Linked DNA regions of Oryzias latipes. The protein of the gene in region 2 purifies or fractionates together with the protein of the main gene of each other region. This does not show direct contact. Links are inferred from orthologs where the notes say so. Each region holds a gene or a part of one and is shown on either strand. Other genes may lie near its edges.

Region 1 (7,388 bases), on a different chromosome or scaffold from region 2:
TGCATGTCTGTCTGAGAAACAATTTTTAATTGATCTTTATAATTTGTGCTTCTTCTGATCTTCTTCGCTGTGTTGACGAAACACTTTCATTCCTCCTCCTCCTCCCCGTCTCCTCCTGGCCTCCATGGGAGATTCCCCTCACACCTCCTCCTTTCACACGTCTCCCCATGCTTCTCCTCTCTGTTTGCACCTTTCTTTTGGCGCCAAGTTGCGTGAACCCAGACAGGCCGTCGCCCCTGGATCTGCACTTAGTGATGTTCCTGCCCACTCTGCTCAACCAGTCCACCCCTGAGCAGATGGACCGTTTCTTCATGCCCGCCTGGAACCTAAAGATCATCGGCACCTACGCTCAGACAGAGATGGGCCACGGTAAAACCCGCAGTCCGAATCCCGTCTGCTCCCACACTCGCCATGTTAGGCAGTCATGAGTCGCTCTTTGGATGATCTCTAAGTGACGCATTCCATTTTTCTGCCACTATGTCAGCCCACCACAGTGTAAAAAGACATTTCTGAGAAACATTTTGAACTGTAGTTAGTTATTGCGGGACTCTTGACTTTAAAAATGTAAAGTTTTCTATTATAGCTACAGCTACATTGGTGGTACTAACCAATCAAAGCCTGGTGCCATTTTTCTCTACCTCCATCCATCAAGATGGACATGGAATTTAACTGATGTGTCGTTCTTTTAGATGTAAAACGTTTTTTTAATGAATTCTTTTTACAAATAAATCTAGATCTTTTTAACCCATAGTAGTCCAGGGCCTTTTTGCACTTCATTTCTACTTATATTACAATTTATCTTTTAAACCGTTTTTTTGTGGCAGTGCTTGCTATCCAATCTTTTTTAATACAACCCCAGCTTTTTTTTTTCTTTTTCTTTTTTTACAAATATATTTTTGATTTTCGTTACAGAAGGAAACAGTCAGAAAACTCAATTCCAGGTGGTAAATTGAGATCAAACAGTTTTTTATGTTTTTATAAGAAAAGATCAAACACGTAGAGACAAAATAAAGATTTATAATCCACATAATAAAGCAGACATGAAAAAATGGGGGAAAAAGGCAAAAAATAGCCGGAAGAAGCAACATTAAACTCCATACAAACCTCCATGGATTTATTCCATGATGTGTCATAACTCCCATGTTTGTTTATAACCAGGTATTTTATAGCTAAAATCTTAGTTAGTCATTTTGAATGAACACTTTGCTGATGGGAAGGTCGGTTTGATTCCCATTCAACAGCCGATGTGACTGGAAAACTCCCAGGTGAGTTCAGGGGTTAAAGTTGTAACAAACAGAAATCTATCGAAACCTAATTATACCGTAGTTTTCAAATGAGAAAATGTTCTGCAAGTCTTTAGGTTTTTTTGCCAATTTAACCTCATTTAGCATCTTTATTAAAGAATAGAGTGGCAGGAACCATCAAAGAAACCTGAAGTTTGTGTTTTTCCATGGTTTAACGTCAAAAAGCTTAAAAGACTTATGAACATGAGATTTTTCTGTCACCGCTTTTAGCCAAACCTGGAACAGTTTCCAGCTTTAGAAATTAGAAATTAGCCCACATCAGACCCCCCCCCCCCCCCCCCCCCCCCCTTTAGAAAGACTAACCTGCTGCTCTGTCGTCAGTCCCACTGAGTAACCGTGTTTTCCATTTTCTTAAGCCGGTTTGGGATGCTGATGCATGCTGGGAATGCACGTTCTTGTCCTGTTGAAGGTCGCTTTACATCTGTCAAACAGCTATAAGATTTACTGCAACTGAACTCACCTTTATATGTAAAGTAAAATAAGATTTTAGACTCAGGGGCTCCACATGTTTGTTTGTTTTTTCTATTGATATAACTCTTTCTGGCATTTTAAAACTGCATATTTATATACTACGTACATTTTGCGCTTTTTCCACGTATGAAATGTTGGTCTTTTCTGATTCATGCATGATCTACGTAATTCGGAAGTGTTTTCTTGCGTCATTCATCGATGTCCGCAGACGTCCGTCGAGGGTCTTAGCCGACGTGAATTCAAAATTTTGGGTCGGTTGAGAATTATGCTGTCTACGCATATTTCTGTGCTATTTATACTTATTATTACGTAAATCTTACGCAATTGTGCGTAATTTATTTATTTATTTTTTTCCATGTATGGTTTATTCATCACTTATTTACTTCTTCCTTGGTTTAACGTTATTCATTTGTCATAAATTTTCACGTAAAACCACAACTTTTTAACTTTTTCCAAACAAATTCACGTATGACCAATAAGCGCATAATGTACGTAGTGGCTGTGTGACACGACTTATGGAAGTTGTAGTCATGTGTCACGCCGTGTGCTGTGCACACACGTCTGGCCCATCTTTCATGTGTGGTGTGAATCCAGGAACGCATCTGAGAGGGTTGGAGACCACGGCCACCTACGACCCGGCCACTCAGGAGTTTGTCCTGAACAGTCCCACCGTCAGCTCCATCAAGTGGTGGCCTGGAGGACGTAAGTGTCTCCAGTCTCGTTCAGAGGTTCTTCTGTGTTTTTTATCGTCTGAAACCGACCGCAGCAGGCGGATGCTGCGACTGAATGTGGTTCTGCTGAAGGTTTCCTCCTGTTCCTGCAACTTTTCCTAAAAGGACACTCAGCACACCAGAAAACACCAAAAATACTTGACCTTAGGTTATACTAATATTCAAAAGATGGACTATTTATTAAAAAAAGAAAGCATTTAAATTCGGGACGAGGATGTGCTTTATAACTGAACTGAATTCAATCTTTTTTTTTCAAACAGAAACTGTAACTGTCCCTCCTTTTTCGTTTTAGTTGGAAAGTCTGCGAACTATGCTATAGTTTTAGCTCAGCTTTACAGCCTTGGGAATTGCCACGGTCTGCACGCCTTCATCGTACCTGTCCGGGACATGGACACACACATCCCGCTGCCAGGTAACCTGCTGCCATCTGTACGTTCTGCGCGTCTGTCGCATGTTTTCCTGAGCCCAAAGGTTTGTCTTTGCTGCAGGCGTCGTAGTTGGCGACATCGGACCGAAGTTCGGCTTCAATGAAGTCGACAACGGTTTCCTGAAACTGGAGAACGTGAGGATTCCACGGGAGAACATGCTGATGAAATACTCAAAGGTGAAGTTTCGAAGGACTGCGTTTGAACCAGTAGATGTTCAGAGCTTTGCTTAGACCAGGGGTGAGCAAACTACGGCCCACCATATGCAGCCGAGTAAACTGTTTAATCTGGCCCACCAAGCTGGAATAAATGATATTGATTATCCTTTATAATGGTTTATTTTCCCTGTAATGTGGTGTGTCCTCATAGATGGGCACTACAAATAAATTGACCTTTAAGTAAAGAAAGTTATTCTGCTTTCATATAATGTCAGAAGAATTGTTTTTCTGACGTCCATGCGTGTTTTCTAAATCATTTTTGTAATTATTCCTTTACCACATAAGCACAGCATTTCTCTAGATTAACATTTTTCCCCTGACAGACATCAACCAATTGGTGCAATTGGCCCTGAAATATGAACAAAGGCCACAGTTTTGAAATTAAAACTCAAGTGTTCTGTTTTTAAAGATATATGTCCATTTTCATTTAAAATTAAAGCAGAATCTTTCAAATTCCATGTTATTTCTTCAAAAAAAAATAAAAGTCCCGCTGTCTGTCACAAAATTTGTTCTCCGCACTTGACCCATTCAGGGAACCATTTGGTGGTTCAACCCAATCCAGCCCCTTAATGCTGAGTGTCCCATTTTTAAAGTCTTTGGTATGACCTGGCCCGGGTTTGAACTCATGACCTTCCAGTCTCAGGGCGGACACTCTAACCACAAGGCCCCTGAGCTGGCCACTTTCAAAGCCACTCTCTCTTATCAGGTGGATTAGCAAAACATGCCATGCTCCTGGTCTGGCCCTTCTGTCAAATTTTAGAATCCTTTGTGGCTTTGGATGGGCTGTTTGCCCACCCCTGCAACTGCAGCTTATTTTGTGTTGCCTGTCTGTGACGCTCCCAAAAGTAGCAGCCCTTTAGTTTATTATGCAGATACCATCTTTAAAACAAGAAAACAGTATTTTTCTGAAACAAAGAGGCGCACATGGAGGAGCAAACTTTAACATCCAACTTTCTGAAATGACTGAAAACCTTCTTTTTTTTTTTCAATTTAGCCTCAACTGTTCAATTCAATTCAGTGTTATTTCTATAGCCCAATATTTACAACAATAGTCGTCTCAATGGGCTTCATACCGGTAATTGTGTAATAAACATGAATCATAAAGAACATAAAATCATAGATTTCAATAGGTGACTAAACAGACTAAACTAAACCTTTAGGCCATCCTTCGCTGTAAGGAAAAACTCTTAAAAAACCCGGATTCCAGAAAAAAAACCCAGAAGAAACCTCAGGGTTGCCCAAACTGTTGGACTGCTGGTTTCACTGCAAGACGCTCTGGTTCTGCTAAACTCCACAAACTGATGGGAAGAGCTATCACCGATACGCTGCCTGCTTTTTGGAGAAAAATGATTTGTTTATGCAAATCTACCGTCAATCCATCACTTTATTTGTAGACCACCTGTAGAACACAAGGTGCCCCAAATAAAAGACGTACACAGAGGTTAACTAACTGACTTCTTAGGTTCTTCTGTTATCAGACACGGTTGTGTCGTTCGCATACCTGACATGTTTTGACGGACGTCTTCGTCGAAATGAGGGGCACCTGCCTGCTTTCTGACACCTGGAGTAACATCCTCCAGCAGCAAACTTTGACAGGTGACTCCGCCCCAGTCACAATCGTCTGTTTTTATCAGTACCGTCTGATGACGACTCTGACGAACACGTCCGTCCAAACATGGAAGGGGTGTGAAAAACACCGCCGTGTCCGATAACAGAGGAACCAAAAAAGTCAGTCATCAATATAGACACTATGAACTTTATTGAGGTTAAATAAATAAAAAGTTTGAAAACACAGTAGAATAAAAACAGCAACAATCAAAAGATAAAATGTAGGAAATGCGGTGGCTAATAGTTTGAGACATTTTACAAAAAAAGAGGCAGCCTTTGTCGTTCTTCCTCACTTTTACTCTGTGTGATTATGAACAGAATTCCTTTTCCCTGTTTTCCTGTGGATAACATGTTCTGATCGTCAGGTGAACTGACTTTAGCAGATGTCTTTGGTGTGTGCTACATGTAAATAATATTTATTTGTGTAAAGTTAATAAGTAGTTCAGAGACTGCCGGCGTAAAAATTCCCTCCCTGCTTACCTACCTGAAGTTTAAAGGATTGAAAAGATTAAAATGTATGTTTTTGTTCCTTTTTTTAACTGAGATTAAAACTAAGATTTCTTTTTCCATGTTACAATAAAACATGTTTCAAGGTTGATTAAAGAATTAGATTCAATTTCATGAGTCTGAAGCATTTAAGGTGATTCTGTTTTATGTCCACTAGGTGGAGCCAGACGGCACCTATGTGAAGCCTCCCAGTGACAAGCTGACCTACGGCACCATGGTGTTTGTCCGCTCCATGATCGTTAGGGAATCGTCCAAAGCCCTGGCCAAGTCCTGCACCATCGCCATCCGTTACAGCGCCGTCCGCCACCAGTCGGAAATCCGCCGGGGGTGAGTCACGCATTACAGCGCCGAACAGTCGACCTATATGTAGACGGACCTGAAATCGGAGGGAGGCTTCTGCTATCAGGTTCAGTAACAGCGTGGGAATTTGACTCGTGGGTTGTGATGCTCCATAATAAAATAGTTCAGGCTTTTATTTTGAAATGAGATGGAGAAGACGCTCAAATAAAACAAAAAATATGTTCTTGGACATGATTTTTTTGGGTTATGTAGGAATTTACATCAACTTTACAAGGAATATAAAAAAATCATTCAAATTAAACAGGTTATGGCCACCAAAAGATCAATTACATTTCAGTTAACAGGTTTAAGGTGGATTTTGATTATCATTTCCCAAACATGTTTTCTGTTTGTTTGCTTCTGCCAAAAGAAAAAGTTTTCATTTATGGTGGAACTTTAAAAAAAAGAATATTACTTTATTATTACTTCCAACACGTTTTTTCTTTTTTCCAGAGAGCCAGAGCCTCAGATTCTGGACTACCAGACGCAGCAGTACAAGCTGTTCCCTCTGCTGGCCATGTCCTACGCCTTCTCCTTCGTCGGACAGTACATGACAAACACCTACCAGCGCATCAACGCAGAGATCAACCGGGGGAATTTTACTGAGCTGCCAGAGGTACAAAGCAGAAATTACATTTACAGTTAAATCAATGGATTGATTTCATGATTTATTACAACAAAACTGTCGGTTTAGACTTGAAATCTTAAAAGACAACATTTTATTAAATTTCCAACTTTTTTTAGACTGAATATCTATATGCATGTATTTCTTTTATGTACCGGTAACTGTATTAGTCACATAGCCGAGCAAAGAGGATTACAGTCACTACAAAAAAAAAGATATGTTAGATAGGAAATTCTGATTTCTTTTATTTATTTAAAGATTTAGTTTTTTTCTTTTTAGGATCCCGGTGTTGCTTCTGAACCTGATCCTCAAGTTCCGACATCAATTCCAGAATCCAAACTATCCAAACTACTCTCAGAATTTAAAAAGCTCCACTTTGATCTCAGAATCCCATTTTTAAATCTAAAATTGATCCACTAATCCAGACAATAATTCTGGAATCCTGACATTGATCTCAGATTCTCAAATTGGGTCTTAAAATCCAGACTTTGATTTAAAAAAACAAAACAAAAAAAAAACAGTTTGAAAGTTTGACTTGATCTAAGAGACTTGAGTTCTATCTCAGAATCTCAACTGTGACTCTGAATCTGATCCACAAATCCCAACCTTGATCTCAGAGTCTCAACTTTATCCTTAAAGCTCAGCTTTAATCTTAAAAGCTTTTTTACTTGAATTTCTAACTTTTCAAAATTAAGAGAATAAATGATCTGAAAGGAAAGTCAGAATTCTTTTTAAATAGATGAGTGTGAACTTATCATAGAATCTTTTGAAAAGGCCTTTTGACTTCAGCCATCGTTAACATCGCAAAATGCAGAAACTTCCTTATAATTTTTATTTTTACATTGATGTTAGCTGGTCAGAAATAATAGTAAATGCAGTTTTTGACCAATGAACTGTGAAGTCACATCCATTTTGGTATAGTAAATACAGTTTAAGGCTTTTGAAAAACGTATATATTTTTTTTCCCCTCCACCCTACAGCTGCATGCGCTGTCTGCGGGTCTGAAGGCCTTCACCACGTGGGAAACCAACTCTGCCATTGAAGTGTGTCGCATGTCATGCGGCGGCCACGGTTACTCCAGGAGCAGCGCGTTGCCAGACATTTACACAGAGTTTACCCCGACCTGCACCTACGAGGGGGAGAACACCGTCATGATGCTG
Region 2 (8,148 bases):
ATTTTAACACCTTAAACTTATTATTAAACCTAAACTAAATTTCTAAGAGGAAAAGCTAATCGTGCCGAGTTCTTCTTTTCAAAACAAATTGGATCTTCAGCACTGCGCAGCCTTGAGATTCCTACTACTAGGAAACTGGTGGCTGCTTTTGATTACCTTCATGGAAAATGGTGCACTGCATCAGATACTGGGGAGGTGAGTCACACTGCATAGCCTATGCAACATGAACCAATTTCATCCCCCCCCCCAAAACATACAGCTGTTAGTTGTAGCAATACCATCCTCAGAGGCCAGTGACTCCTACCTGGTTGAGGTTGGAGGCCCAGTTCTGAGCCTCCTCAGCCTGAGCTTTATCTGTGAGCTGTTTGTCTGCTCTGCTCTCCACTGTCACACTTCCCTCGCCAATCTGCCTAACGAATTTCAGGAACTACACAACAATGAGGGGAACAATAAAAAAAAGTAAAGAAAAAAAACTTTATATCACAAAATTGTTACTGAGCAGCGGTTTTAATTGGGGATAATTGGTTGTTTTTACATGACTCTTCTAATGGTTATAAAGCCAACACTTAATACTAAAGAACAAGAAACAATAAGGCGACAGATATGAAGGGAAAAAATACATGACTGATTCATGACAGAGCAGGACAGCACTCACCTCTGTGTTTTTTAACTTGGGGTCATCGACCTTTGCAACAAGTTCATTTGCCGTCTGCCTCAGCTCTTCTCCTGACTGATACTCTTTAGTCCTGCCAGACAAATACAAAATATACCACAAGATTGTAATAGAAGCAGAGCAACTGTTCTGTTATTTTCTCTTTATGTAGGTTGGAGATAATACTCAGGTTTGCTGAAGGCTGTGCTTTCAATAGACGTCAGTAGAAGCCAAGGCCGATATTCTATACATTAGCTTTAGAATTCAGACGGCCCTATATGTATGCATGGACAGCTCTGGGTACAATTAGCCTCAATGCATAAAGTTAGAAGAGGATAAAAGTAAATGGGTGGACATAAAACGACACATTCGCTTAAGAAAGCGTTCAAGGTTTAAATCTGCATTCAGATCTGTTATCGTTTGTCTCCCTTGGAGCTTTTCCTCTTTTGTTCCTGTAGGGGTGTCAGGCTGCCACTGCGCACTCACTGATGCTTGCCTGAAGGACTTTTTCCTGCAAACACTTTATTATCCACACGCTTTGCATGGCCCACCTCTCACCATTCACTTTCCTTGTCTCCAAGGTCTCCGAGCCACAGTTTCTCCTCAGACTGCTCTAGATACTCCTCTGCCCAGCGTCCAGGGTCTGGAGAGGAATACATTAAACAGAATAAATTAAAGTCCCCCTATGACAATTAAAAAAATGTTGTGTTTTGATTATAATTCTGAAGTTTTGAATCAAAATCCCACAACCTAAATGTTGTAAAAAGGCATATTTCATGTTTATCTGAAGCCTCCGTTTCCAAAATCTCCTCTACATGGGTGTGGCTGTTGGTGCTGAGCTGAGTAGCCCCACCTTTGATCAAGGGGCCAAACGCGGTTCGGCCACTTTGATTTTTTTCATACATGTGGTCAAAAACAAAATCCAGCCTTGGATGCACTTAAAATATGTGCAGGCAATGCAGCAATGCACCATCTTCTCTTCTCACGCACCTGAGCTTGTGCACGCCTGGCGGGGCAGATCAGGGAGCTTCTGCAATGCGCTTGCACTACTAGGCCATTGTGACATCACAACGCCTCATTCATATAAACAGCGCGTCTTTGCGTCAGTTTAATTGCCACTGATTTAAAAGGAGAAATACTCAGAAATGAAAAAAAGAAATTATTTTTTATTACATTTGTTCTCTTTCATAAGAAAAATGTCAGATATACATAAAAAAACAACAACATGATTTTTAATGGAGGGGGACTTTAAAGACATTTGTAATGTACATATTGTAGCTTATAAACATTAAAATGTGATAACAGTTAGATCCGCTAAATCAGTGAGACAACTGCAGTAAATCATAGACCGGAAGAAACTCCAGTTACCTGCAGCCTCAGCAATAAATTCTCTGGTCCAATCAGAATCTGCTGAATCACCAAGAGAGGTGAGACCCGGTGTGGTGGCAGAATCCGAACTGGAGAGGAACTCGGCAGCCCAATCACCAGAGAGGGCCAGTGCGGCCACATCAGGAGCTAAAACAAGAAGTGAGGATATCATTTTCTGAAATGTGCTGAGATCACATGGCAGAGAGAAAAATTGTATAAAATGTATGAATAAATTGGAAGAATGATGTGCACCTCTCTGTGGAGCTTGTCTGTAGCTTTGCTGATCGATCTGCTGCATTTCCTCTAATAGCTGACCCATGTCAAATGTGGTGGGGGGGCGTGGCGGGGCCTGAAGGAACTCATTCACCAACTGGAGCAAAAACCAAAAAAAAAAAGAAAAAACATTTCACAGCTGTAAGTATTTGAAAGATAGCTTTCATGCATAAAATATAACAATTCTAAAAACTTGAGGTGAATATTTCAAATATTTAAAAGGATATTTTAGTATAAAGGGACAGAAAACTAAACAGACCTCTTGTTCGGTTGCAATTTCAATAGGAGTTGGTGGAATCTGAGAAAAAGCGGTAAAGAAAACAGAACCGGTTCATTAAATGCATTTTATTCTGCTGTAATGGAATAAAAAAAACAGCTAATGTTACATTAGTTAGTAATGCCCAACATTACTCACTGCAGGGCTGGTGCGGTGCTGCCATGTCCCCTCTTCTTTGGTCATGTGACTGGCCAACTTCATGAGGGGATTGGCTCCACCACATTCGGCCTCCACCAATTCTCGCATCGCCATGGCAACGGAAGGAAGAGGCAAACCCCACTAGAGTACGTAAAAGCTAAAAAAAATAAATAAATAAGGATTGCGAAATACATGCATTTCTGTTTCACAACAAAAAATGAAAGCAACAGATTAAATAGATTTATGAACAAAGGACTGTTGTGCAAATGACAATAAAATGAATTAAAAATGACTGATTACTTTAACTTAGACTTTGACCAAAAAATGAAAAGGACTGGAAACAACTTTTATTGGCAAACTGAAACTCTAAATACTGCCAAAAACTTACCAAGACACTTTTTCACAAATATATTTATTTATGATTAAGATTAAGAATTAAATTATTTATTAGTGTCCGTGAACGTAATCATATTTGAATGAATAACTATCCTATGTTTGAAATATCTTTGTATAGATTTACATTTCTGTTGTTCGTCTTGTTTTTGCATTCTTTTTGCTCTGATTGCTTGAAATAAACCATTTCCAAATCCAAATCCAAATATTTAGAGCTATGACATATTGTATCCCAAACTATTCGTATCTGAAATCTGAACAAAAAAAATCAAATGTGTATTTTGTCACCAAACATAGTAAGATATCTGAGAGGAAATGCAGCATTATTAATATTCTTTAAAATCTGAGCTTCAAAGTATTATCTTGAATCACTTCCTGGTTTCTGTCAAGTGTTTTATTATAAATTAAACCTGCCAGTTGCTGCCATCTTACGAATACAATCACAAACATGCAATATTGCTCTTTCTTTTTACATTTTAGCTCCACATAAAAGGTCCAGAAAACGAATCATTTAACAGCTGACGAGCCAGATGAAGAGAAAGCCTGAGGGTTTAAACATTGCACAAAAAGCCCCATGCCTTGTCAACAAATTTAAAACTCCATCTGTCGCATTTTCATGCCAGTTAATGGCTTTTAGTGAACTGTTAATAATGAGGACACGGATTGTAAGCCTTGCAGCGCACGGGGATGTTTACCACACATTTACATAGTGAATCAAAATTGATTTGGGGCAATTTGTGCTTTCCCTGGGTTACAGTGTTCACAATGAAGAAAAGCTTTTATTCTGTATGGATGAGTGCATTCAGACTGCTGTGAGGTCTTAAAGCCTCAGGTCTGAAGGTCTGAGCTGTGTGGGGACAGACTCGTGTAAAAATGTTACAATCGCCTCTAGAATAGATAGATCAGTCACGATGTAAACATACACACAAGGATCTAATTATGAAAATAATAACAGTAAAAAATAAAAAACAAGGAATACAAGCTTGCATCAACTAAATAAAATAAAAAACAACTAATCACGTAAAGTATACATACATACATAAGAGAATTGCAATCTTTTTTTCTGTCCAACTGTCATCTCCCCAAAATAAATCTCATCGTTTTTAGTGTTGGCATAAGCATCCTAGTGAGTCACACCTCTGACCGCTGCATAATGATTAGGATCGAAGTAGTAAGAGGATTAACAAAGATATTAATAAAATATTGTCACAGACAACACATGCTGCCTTAGTTAGACACACGTCTACGTCACACTTCAGGTATTTGGAAGAGCAACGTAAATGTTTTAATCAAGGCAATCTTAATGTATCTTTTAAATGTGCACACATAGTTGGGAGTAACTACAAATATTGGCATCAGAGTGTACAGAGGTTCTGCACTAACCTAAGCTAACTGTAGCCTCAGTCCCAAACGGTAAAATTAGCTACATGTGTCAGGATGTGTTTCGTCTTTGTGTAGTCAACCTCAACCCATTAAAAACCCCAATATTAGACAGAAAGAAAACATATTAATACCTAAAGAGTTCGACTCTAACATAAGCATGGCTAGAGTTAGCTAACGAGCAGGTTACATGGTACAAAGATCATTCTTGTACGGCACAGTGAGTCCGAATTGAATAAGCATGGTGGTTGTTGTTGTTCATCTCACCGCCGACAGCTACTGCTGCTGCTGCCGCAGTCGCTCCTCTGTGGCCCGGGTGTCCTCTCTAGCTTCTGCTCCGAGGGCCGTGTCTGAATCTAGCACCGTTCGAACCGCAGCCGCTTTATGCTCCTAATGTTTATCTTCCACCTCCATGACCCACAGAACCATCCACAGACTCCTTTGAGATCTGCCGTACGTTACGTTACGTAGGTTACGTATATTCTTTAACGACGTTACGTAGGAAGAGAGAGAGAGAGAGAGAAGCTATGTTACATTGATTAAAATAAAATAGAATAAATTATACAATGGCCACTGATAATTGTTTAATTAAATTTCACATGCCAAGGTTATTTTCATTTAACCAAATTTTCTAATTTTCTCATGCCAATAGTAAACAGTAAAATACATCTTGTGTTTGGCTCACTTGAAGTTTTGCAGACATCATTTGTGTACCCAAATGATTTTTTTAAAACTTTTATTTCTAATCAGAAGAGGTTATTCTCTGCCAACATTGGTAGGTACACCATTAGCTGTTATTGTTATTAATTATAATATTACCATTCTTAGAAGCCAGTGAATCTTACCAGACTGATACTCTTTAGTCCTCCCACAAAAATAAAAACATTGCAATGTGATATACATTAACTTAAGCAGAACAAACTGTTCTGTTATTTTCTGCTCCTGTAGGCTGGAGAATTCAGTCATGTTTGCTGAAGGCTGTGTTTTATATAATTAGATATCAGTAGAAGCCAAGGCCATTTTTCCATACACTAGTTCTCCTTTAAAATTGTTTAGCCTTATATGAATGCATGGATTGAAATCATAGAAAACCTCATTAAATTAAATCAAACTATGTTTAAAAATACTTTAAATGTTCACAGTCAATATAAAAGTAAAACTGCTACCTTTTAGAAAACAGAGATATCAATTCAAAATGCATACGACTCATCTACAATCTAATAGGTAAAACATGGGGCTGCATATCAGAAAAACTTGCAATATCCAGTATTAGTGATCAATATTGTGATGACGATATTACTTGCGGTACATGAACAAATAGCAAAACAACCAAAAACATCTATCCCATTTCACTGGAACAGTTTAAAAATTATACTCCAAATGACCCTCGTCTACATAGGAGGCGAACATCTAACATAAAAGGGCTCCATCCGATTGGACCACAACATGAAGACGTCCATCCGGTTGGTCAAATCCATAAAGAGATTTATTTGATTCATTAAATACTTCACGCTGGCATAAGATAAGGTAACCATTTATTGCAATTTTCGCGGACTTTTGCAATATGCATATTGCACAGCTTGATCTTGCAATAACAATAAATTTGCGATTCATTGTGCAGGCCTAGTAAAAGACTGTAATATAATATATAATAAGACATACTGTCTGCTGCTTTAGGTGATGTAACCTTTGTGCTATCCTAGGCACTTTAACATTGGGTGTTGGGTCATCTAGACCCACTAGAGAGTGCGCTGAACCTTTTTTCTTCAATGATTTGTGAACCTCACTGGTGTCCATGAATTACATGAAATCTTTCCACCTTTATCATGGTAGGGAGAACATGTCAATGTAAGGGTGGGGTCATCTAAGATAGCACAAGGGTTAAAGTGAAAGTGATTGTGTTAGTGTGTTAACAGGAAAATAAGTTTAATATGGATACTGGGATTTTGTTGGGTGGCAGTTTCAGTGAATGCACACACTAGCAAGGAAACTTTTCTCATGGAGACGTCATATAGTGGCTTTTATTATGAATTTTGTAATGTTTTCTGACACTTCTCAGTAACAATTAGTCAGCTTAATCCACATTGTCAGTGTATCGATAATCACAGGTAAATCTCCAAACCGTAACATAGTATTAATATAAGTTATTTATTAATGCAATGTTTATTGGCTCTTTAACATCACACTCAAAAACAAGAGGCTTTATTTACTGACAACCTTAGCACTGCACATTGATAGGATACACAGACAGCAAGAGACACAGAGGGAGAGTGATGGAGAGGTGAAGGGAAAAGGCGAGTGGAGCGTGATGGGAAGGTAAAAATGACAAGCACACAGTTGTACATTTATTAAACCAAAATTACTAGAAGTAATGAAAACAACATAAAATATGGTCAACAAATAAAACAAAAAAATGGGGGAAAAAACCCTTGAAATGAGTGAAAGTCTTACAACAATGTGCTCTCCTTTTTTGTGACTCAGATATTGACAGGTTCATAAATTACAACATTATTACACACAAATTAGGAGACACTCATCAAGCCATGGGAATATCATCCTTATCACTACTACTATTTATCATTATTATATTACTTCTTTGAGTTGAAAAGTGATTCCTCATGTGGAAAAATGTTAAATTATAATCTGCTCCCTCTCAAAAATGTGCAGTAAAAGAGTGGATGCAAAATATAATAGTAATATCAATAACATCATAGTAGTCTTCATTGTATATACAGAAAGTTCATTACAATCAATACAATCAAAACTGCCCAAGCTGAGCGGACATTCTGAAAACAGCGAGGGGTAATGTTATGGAGTGTGTGTTTCCATGTAGAGCAGTGTTGTGGAGAGAGTCTATCTGCATGATAGCTGCTGCAGTTTTAACTCAATTCATTGTAGAAAATGCAACTTTGTAAATGCTCAGAATTGAACAAAGAAGTTTCATTTTGTATTCTATGAGTGTTGAAAAAGTGCCAGCTTGAGTGAGGGTTGTGCAAGAAAGCGTTTCAGTATTGTCAGGAGACTCAGATACAACGTAGCTTGAATCTGAAGAAGTAAACTAATCTCACAATAGAGGGAAGAACACCTACAGGTACGCCAGATTTAAGGTTTTTGTGGCTGTTACTTCTGAACTTGATGTCTTCACTCTTTGAGGGTAAAGGAATGTGTCGGAGGAGGTCGCAAAGAAAAATACGAGCTTGTGCACAGACTTCCCAATGCAGTTTTACAAAAAGTTCAGAGAGACGCATGTGTCGTCATCCACAACTCAATGCCTTCCTGTTGCAAATTGTTCTAGCTTATATTTGGAAAAAGTTTCATTGGTTTTTAATAACAAATATTAGACTAGATGTTTTATTTCAGTCCTTTTCAACCAAAATGACACTATACAGACACACGAGCATCTTGTGATTCAGAATTGGTGCATCACAAACAAGTTTGGTGGGGTTTCATCAAGCTCTTCATTTACATTAGTTGTTTACATTGTGCCGTTGAACATTTAGGTGGACAACAACAGCTTGTTGTTGGCTACAGGTCACATATGGCAATGAGTGTGGGGTGTATTACAGTGACTGTGTTGTGCGTAGTGTTTGTAAGCATACATTCCTTTGATCACGGGTGTCAGCAGTTGTTGACACTAAAAGTGTTGAAGTGTGTGACTGGTGAGCTG
Region 3 (8,116 bases), on a different chromosome or scaffold from region 2:
AAATCTCACAGAAACAACTACTCACTACTCTGACACAAGGCACAGCTCTCCACAGAAAGAAAAAGAAAAAGAAACTGATTTTGGCAAAATATATTCAGAAAGAAAATGGAAAAGAGATCGGCCGAATTTTCTGTGCTTTAAAAATGAAGTCAGACGGTATTTATACTCATTAAAATGTATCCAAAACTCAAATCCTTTTGACACTTCTACTAATGACTAATCTACGATCCAGGTTGTTAAATGGCAGGAAATTTAATTTATGCTGGAAATTTTATATATTTTATATACATTTTGAAGCTGTTTAGTCAGCGTGAAAGACAAAAAGGCTAAATTCTAACGTTTGTTAGCGATATTTAAAAATGAAAATAAACACTGTAACATGTTTATTTACTTTCTACGCTAACAGAAGCTGTAAAATGTAAATACAATTACTTACGGATTTCCGCCGAGTGTTATTAGCCCGAAACTATTATTCATATGATTATCAGTTTAGTCATCAAAGGCGCGCGTATGGTGTAAGATACGTCAATAAAGTTTAATTAAGTTACATATAAGCTTCATGTAATGAAACTCGTTCTTTTTACCTCAATGTTTGTCAAGTGATTGAAAGAAGTCATTGGGAGGTTAGGTTACTTACTAGCTAATCGTTTTTCAACAAGCTAATCGTAAATACAAACCATGACTTGTTTTTTCTTCTTTCATAATCTCATTTTAGCTTATTTATCGTTACCTGTTATAAAAGCGGTACACAAATGAGTAGAATTTAGGCATTAATGAACAAACACGTACCCGAGAGGTTTGTTGTGACCTCTGTATCACTGCGACAATTCCAGCTGATTTGCAGCAAAAGTACGGTGTCGTGTTAGGGTCAGATCCTTGTAAAAGGAGACGCTCAATTTTCTGCGCGCCCCCTGGAGTTTAATATTTACATAATTTGGGCTGCTGCAAAGCCTATTATTAAAGGGTTTTCTATCTGATGAAGACATTGAGGTTTTTACGTCCATCCATGCATCCATCCATCCAACATTCTTGAGTAAGGCTATAATTATATTTTTACTCACTGGATCTGTAACATCATCACATCAACAGTACTCACCTCTATTACAATTAAACAGCTATTTTACATGTTACAATTTCAGCAAAGTGCTATAGTTCATAATTAGTACATTTTTAGGTGATTAAAAAATATCAAATTAAAAAAACAAAAAGGCATTGTGTCTAACAAAGCGCAACAATGCTGTATTTTTAACATTATTCTAATGAGCTTCAACACAAAGTGCTTATGATGAAAAAAGACAACACTGGTGTATTACCAAAGGTCATTTTTTTCTATTTGTGTAATATTAACATTTCTCTTATATCAATCCAAACAACCTATCTGGTAAAGCAAAATATATTGTTTTTCAAAAAAGATTTATTTGACTAGGATTATTTACATTTTTTATATTACAGCCAGGATTATACTTTATACTGTGGACTTTAAAAGCAGAATCTGTGTTGTTAACCGTGGAGACTTTTGTGGAGTCCACTTGTCAAACAAGACGATTAAAGTTTGCTTTGCGGCTCCAGCAGCTCCTTTAAAGCAACCAAGTTTTCACCCTCTGGAGCTTCAGGCCATGCCTGGTGATCTAAACACACAAAAAAAGTTAACACCAATGTGTGACAACCATGGCTAAATGAAAATAGATGTCTTACATACCAGGTATCTCCCACATGGTTCGGTACAGACTTTGTCCTGCATCAACCTTTAATGTGGCTCCAGAGATGAAGGAGGCAGCAGGGGAGAGCAGAAAGCACACAACTGAGGAGATCTGAAACAAAAAGACAACAAAAACAAAGATAGCGAGGTTTATCATGATTGTTGTGAATGTTTCCATTTCCTTTAATCCAGGTAAACACAATTTAGGCAAAAGGAAAAGCATCACCTGGGCTTTGCTCAAGAGGAGCGTTGAGACAACCAGGATGATTTTTAAAAAAAACTGCAGCTAAGCTTAGTTTGAAGAAGAAAAAAAAGTGTTCAGTCAAAACTAGCAGTAAATAGTTGGAGTAATGCATTTTCTTATTAGTGATTTAAAGACTACACATATTGAAGAGATTGACCAATTTTAACCCAGAAGAAACAACTGAGTCAATTTTTCTCTACTTTTAAAATATTTGTTTTCATTTCTTTTATTGTTAATTTTTTTGGCCGCTGTCAATTCCAGTTGGCCAAAATTACCAAAAAACAAAATCAAAGTCAAATTTTAAAGAAAATTGTACGAGTGTTCTTCAGGCTTAAAATTCACAAAGCATGCGCAGCATATTTTTTTTACTCACAGGGGAACAGCCTCTAAAAAAGATTTAAAAAGAGAAGTTAAAGTTATTGAAGCAAGTTGAGTTGCTTCCCTTCCCTTTATTTACTGTGAAGTCAAATGAATGCGGCGAAGGCCAATTAGGAACACTTTTAGTCTTTTAATTACTTCTGTTGCTATGGTAACACACTAACAGAGTCACACTAATTGGCAGAAACTTACGAAAGGGTTCAGCCTCATCTATAGGATCACATCTAGATTCAAAGGGAGAGCCTTATTTAGTGGTGAGGCAATTCTTTGGCGCAGTTTTTGAGTCCATTGTCAGCAACGGTCGACGATACAACCTGGATGGCGTCTCTGTGTTCTTAAGATGAAGAACTATGTTAATTAATCTGTAAAAGAAAAATATGACTGCTATAGTTAACTATTTTGTATTTAGATTATTGTGAAGTGAAGGAGCCAACAAAAAGCAGTCATCTTCTTCCTGTCTGTTCCTAATGGAATTCTCTTTTACCCTTTTCTTTTATTTCTGTTTTTTCTTTTTTGAAAATATCAAATATTTTCCAATCTAATGTAAAATACATATTCTATGTAATCTTGTTTTAAATTCAAAGTTAACAAAATTGTGCAGGAAACATTTTTTTTTTAAAATAATGGAGGGTGTAATGGATTTGCCCCACACCTCCTCAGGCACTCCCAGTCTCTTTGCAGGGGAGAATGGCACAGACGTCTTAAAAAGATGCGGTCCGAGTTCCTTGTAGTTCTCCATCGCAGTTTTGGAAAAGATTGTACCCTATAAAAATAAAAATAAATTAAATAAATCAAATCATACAGGTCAAAAACTCTGAAAAGGAATCTGTCTGACGTGTACATACAGGTGCTACAGCATTAACTCGGACTCCTGAAGATGCCCACTCGATGGCCAGGCTTTTGGTTAGGTTGTCCACTGCCGCCCTTGCTGCGCCTGTGTGTCTGTCAGCAGGAGGGAACACCATGACGCAGCTCAAAGGGGCATTGTGTACAAAACGTGTGTTCCCAGTGGTTCTTACGCCATGCCAGGGAAGCCCTTCCACATGTCGGCAATGATATTCACTATGACGCCCCCATGCTTCTTCATATATGCTGTGTAGACTGGTCATAGGAGAATATAGATTACAGAGAGCTGTAAACACACTGTCGGACTTGTGTGTGCAGAGCTTACCTTCCTTGCAGCAGTGGAAAGTTCCTGTCAGGTTTGTGTCGATCACAGCCTTCCAGCCTTTGGAGGTCATGTTCTCTACTGGGCTGCTGAACTGACCCCCGCCATTGTTCACCAAGTAGTCAATACGACCATACTGTCTTAGCACCGATGAGACGAGATTATTCACCTGCCACACGCACAAAACAATGCAAACAATAAACAAGGAGAAAAAATAAATTGTTCTGAAACAGCAGATCCAGAGAATGAACGGGGACTTGCCTCCTCCTCATTGCGGATGTTACAAGGCACAGGAGTCACACTGGCAGGACTGGAGGCTGGGATCTTCTGTCTCATCTCTTTGGCTACTTTCTGCAGCCTCTCTGCATTTCTGCTAGAGATCACCACACTGCAGCCTGAAGTCAGCAGCACTTCAGCATCAATGAACTTCAACTTTCTTTTTTTTAAAACCTCATGTGTGATTGGATAATATTCTCCAAACTGTAATGCTCCTACTTTTGTATTGGTGGCACCTGCTGTTTAGTTGGCAAGAATCCCACAGAGAGTTAAAGGACAGACGCTAATTTTAATGACAAACCACTGGATTTAAGCTAGTGTGGGCAAAGTTAGCACCGCCCACATAAAAACACCTTGCTGTTCACCAGTGTGTGTCAAAGTTCAGGGCTTCGGTCCGCGTGCAGGGGGAGAAACCCCGTGAGCATTTAGAGCCCAGCGAAGCTTACCGAGCTCCAGCAGCTCCGTAGAGATGGCTTTGCCGATGCCGGTCCCTCCACCTGTCACCACGGCGACTTTTTGGTTGAACAAACCCGGTTTGAAAACGCTCACCGCCGCCATGTTTGTTTATGAACCTTGCTATGTCGACGTGAGTGTGACGTCATCACGCAAGGCGCGTAACTTTCGAGGATTCGAAATTTCAACTTATTTTTGAGTTGTGCTGTTTTTGTTGTTTGAGATCTATTAATTTTTTGTATTTGAGTGTTTTATAAAAACAAATAAATAAAGACCGGAACAGGGGGTAGGTAAGCAGAAAATAAAATAATCAAGAGACAGGTGAACAGAGAAGAACACAACAGTAATAAATAGGCCTATAAGTTGGATTTATTTATTAATTCAATTTACAATTTTGCATTTATGTTTATGATTTTAAAAAAAGTCATTGTATTTCTTCTTTCTTTTTTATGGTTTGCTGTGATTTGTTGTTAAAAATAAAACCTTGCTTAACAGCGAACTATTACTTTTTTGCTTGAAAAAAAAAAGGGTTTTTACATTAAACAGGACTTGTCCCAAATTAACTAATGTGTTTGATATTAAAAGTATTTTTGGTACGAAAAAATGAAAATCTTGTGTTTTTAGGAAAATGGCAAAATTTACACAATAAAATCTCATGAGTGTTAGCGATACAGTATCTCAAACTAATCATATCCTTCACATAAACGGAATAGTTTTTTCTCTTTAGCTGTTTTTACCATTATTACACAATATTGTAAATATAAATGAGAGAAAAAATATCAATGTAAAAACCATAAAAGTCAGAACCTCAGAATTCTGACTTAGATTAAAGTCAGAATTTCCCATTGCTCCCTTTTTTCTTTTAACTATCCTCTTTCGTACTTTCTAAGACAATAAAGAATTTAAATATTTAAAATCCTTATAGATGCCAACCAATCAGACAACACAGTACTGAAATTCTAAACAAATTTTAACTCAAAAAAGGGTGTCCTAAACTAAACAAAAGTCAGTTTATTCAGCTTTAAAGTTTATTTGAAACGTCGGCAGTTTCTTTGTAATCATGTTTGTTTGTCCTCACAGACAACTTGTTCCTGAAGAGAAAAAAAGCACAGGATCAAAAAACCACATCATTTAGTGACCAGAGTGTTGTGACCACATATCCTTCCTTTTCACACCTGTATCAAATCTTTGCCTTTCCTCCTCCTTTTAAGCTCGACCTCCACCATGCTGTAGAAATCTTTCTCAGCACGAGCGAGGAGCTCTTGAGGGCTCTCCTCTCCATCCTCCCGCACAACCTCTTCTTCTCTGCTCTGCTCCGACCGACACCTCTCCTTCAAACGGATCTCTCTCTGTCGGCCCATCAGGATTTTCTCTCGCTTCGTCTCACGTTCAAACATCTGCAGGCGGCAACAGTATACATGTGAGCACATGGAAAGCCTGTTTTTCTATTTTGAGGAACCATATTTGTCCTGGACTAATATATCAACATAATACATTCAAATATGAATTTAGAGATACTTAAAAAACACTTTTTAAAAAAATTACTCCTCCAGAGGTAGACATTAAAAAATCTGTCTGACAGGTTTCTTACAGCAGCAACCAGACTTTTTTCATTTTTTTGCGGGACCGACAATCCAGAACTAATCTCCAGCAGCGTTGCCTCTCCCTTCTCAGATCCGCATGCCACCAGGCGTCCATTCTCCTCAACACGGATGCTGTACAGTCCACCGTCACACACCTGAAGATGACAACACACACCTGACTCAGTGGACCAACAGGATGACTTAAACTCATCTTCACAGGTGAGATCAGAACCTTGACGCTCAAAGTGGGGTCGCTCTGATTGAACAGGATGTCCCAGATGTCCAGCACACCGTTCATTTTTACAGTGAAGAAAACAGAAGGTCTGACTGGGCTCCAGCAAGCGTCCATCAACTCTGACACCCCATTCCTGGAAGGCAACACAACATAGGGAGAAACCTGAATGCAGGGTTGACACAGGGAAGACCAGAAAGTTTGAGAACTGTGACGACATGCAAGACAAAGTGGATTAGAGCACGGAGAAAAGATTCAGGAGAGGAAACGGCATTCCAAAACAACACAAAAAAGAAAAGATAAAGTGAAAAATTAACAGTAGAGACTTTTAAAGTTGAATTTTATCATTGACCAATCCATTCAATTGTATTTGAAACAACTATCTCATTGGTTTTAAGCCTAAATTGATTAAAAACACACCTTTAATACAAATGTATCTATTCATACCTGCATCTTGCTAAAACTTTATCCTAACTGGTCCATCCTAAGAAAAAGATTCAGTGCTTTGTTGCATTTCAGAAGAAGAAATTCAGATATTTTTTGTCAATTAGTGGGGGAAAAAAATCACAGAAAATAAACAAAACATTCTGTAATGTGACCGACTGAAAGCAAAGTGATCACTTCAACTTTTATAAATATTTAAAATTTAAAATTTTCTTGGACTATAATAAGCAATAAAAAACAACAGTTATCATCACATGTGCAGCTGTTTTCATAAAGTCTTGATGTTAAAAATTATAACAGTAATTATATTCATTTTTTATACACCTTTTTTGTTTGTCGCTGTTGTTAAAACATCTTCTTACTTCCAATTTCTTCTTCCCTTTATTTTAAAATTCCCTAAAAAGCTACACTAACACATTCTGCTGTCATGGTATTTTCCGGCTGCCTGTTCAGCAACGTATTACGATGTTTGCTGCTTGAATAAAGTATTTTAAGAAAACTATCATTTTACTGCATTCTCTGGATATTTCTTATGGTTCATTAAAATACCAACATTTAAAAGAAGGATGAAAAGAGATGCTCCAAAGTTATTTTTTGCAGATCCAAGTCATTTCTTAATCCTAAACTCACTCAAACAAAATGTAAATGGCGGTTTTCTGCCACAAATAGTTCCTCAAGATTCATGAAGTTCCTGAAGATTAATCTTTTATTGTTATCAGCTGAATCTATTGTTTCATTACCGTCAGCCTGTTAGGTGCTCATAAGTCTTCTTGTGTCATCTTTTATTCATTTTAACCTCACATCATGAACCCTCTTATTCTAAGATTTGTTTGTTTCATTCAGGAATCTTTTAAAGACAAAGTCCTAGTCCATTAATCTTATCTCATCATGTCTATAAACACACTTGCCTGCAGTGCCTAGGCCACTTCTTTCTCACCGTATGACGGGAACAGACTTCCCTCTGGTGACAGGTCTGATGACGGCTGTCACAGTTTGGAGAGAAAGTGGACTGCATGCTGAATGCATAGTAGCATAATTGCTTCTAGACTTCTAGAGCACCAAAATCTATCCGGGATCTCTCCTTCTCTTCCTCCCTGACTGGCACATTGATCCATTGCAGGCCTGTCAATGTCAATGAAATGAAGATTTATCTAAATGTAAAATACCAGATGAAAGGAAGATGATCAGAGCAGAAAAGAGAAATGAACAGTGCAAAAGTAATATACCAGAGACGGTTTTCTACGGAAACAAAACGAGTCCTGAAATAAATATTAACATTCTTGAGCTACAGACACACCGGGCATGCAACAGCCGTTTAAAGCATACAATATGTGAGATCAAGAGCACACTAAATGCTGGTTCTTGAAAGCACATTTAGCCCATGGTGTTCACACTGGACAAGCAGGGAGGGGATTCTTCTTTTTTTTAATCTTTCTGCTGTTTACTAGCACACATCCGTCACCTACAGTTGGAAGAGGTGGGGTGCGAAATGTTGAAGCAATGCAAATCTCGCGAATCTTACTCAAGGCTTTTTCTTTCACAGCTCTACTCCAATACACAAAAGATTTGGTGTCACATATTAAATAAATCCAAGTCCCTCATTGGTCAAAGTCGACCTGCTTAACTTCCAGTGGGTGTT

What was found.
Region 1: the proteins of pex5 (region 2) and acox1 purify together in Homo sapiens (affinity purification with mass spectrometry; 3 studies listed by BioGRID, with this or other methods). This does not show direct contact. The link is inferred for Oryzias latipes from reciprocal best matches to the Homo sapiens genes PEX5 and ACOX1.
Region 3: the proteins of pex5 (region 2) and pecr purify together in Homo sapiens (affinity purification with mass spectrometry; 3 studies listed by BioGRID, with this or other methods). This does not show direct contact. The link is inferred for Oryzias latipes from reciprocal best matches to the Homo sapiens genes PEX5 and PECR.

The regions. Positions count from the first base shown.
Region 1 is NC_019859.2:3,127,379-3,134,766, reverse strand, and holds part of acox1 (peroxisomal acyl-coenzyme A oxidase 1), read left to right. Parts: intron 1-208; coding exon 209-369; intron 370-2,369; coding exon 2,370-2,477; intron 2,478-2,798; coding exon 2,799-2,918; intron 2,919-2,994; coding exon 2,995-3,110; intron 3,111-5,421; coding exon 5,422-5,591; intron 5,592-6,056; coding exon 6,057-6,219; intron 6,220-7,208; coding exon 7,209-7,388. UniProt on the Homo sapiens protein: Involved in the initial and rate-limiting step of peroxisomal beta-oxidation of straight-chain saturated and unsaturated very-long-chain fatty acids.
Region 2 is NC_019874.2:20,499,397-20,507,544, reverse strand, and holds the start of pex5 (peroxisomal biogenesis factor 5), read right to left. Parts: upstream 4,945-8,148; 5' UTR 4,749-4,944; intron 2,866-4,748; 5' UTR 2,823-2,865; coding exon 2,709-2,822; intron 2,592-2,708; coding exon 2,553-2,591; intron 2,391-2,552; coding exon 2,273-2,390; intron 2,168-2,272; coding exon 2,021-2,167; intron 1,296-2,020; coding exon 1,211-1,295; intron 747-1,210; coding exon 656-746; intron 428-655; coding exon 305-427; intron 1-304.
Region 3 is NC_019875.2:17,248,739-17,256,854, forward strand, and holds pecr (peroxisomal trans-2-enoyl-CoA reductase), read right to left. Parts: upstream 4,352-8,116; 5' UTR 4,324-4,351; coding exon 4,212-4,323; intron 3,885-4,211; coding exon 3,751-3,884; intron 3,659-3,750; coding exon 3,493-3,658; intron 3,423-3,492; coding exon 3,341-3,422; intron 3,264-3,340; coding exon 3,167-3,263; intron 3,085-3,166; coding exon 2,974-3,084; intron 1,812-2,973; coding exon 1,700-1,811; intron 1,629-1,699; coding exon 1,546-1,628; 3' UTR 1,035-1,545; downstream 1-1,034. Other genes in the region: dnai2 (dynein intermediate chain 2, axonemal), read right to left, coding at 5,277-5,309, 5,394-5,615, 5,810-5,956, 6,034-6,169. UniProt on the Homo sapiens protein: Participates in chain elongation of fatty acids. Catalyzes the reduction of trans-2-enoyl-CoAs of varying chain lengths from 6:1 to 16:1, having maximum activity with 10:1 CoA. Has no 2,4-dienoyl-CoA reductase activity.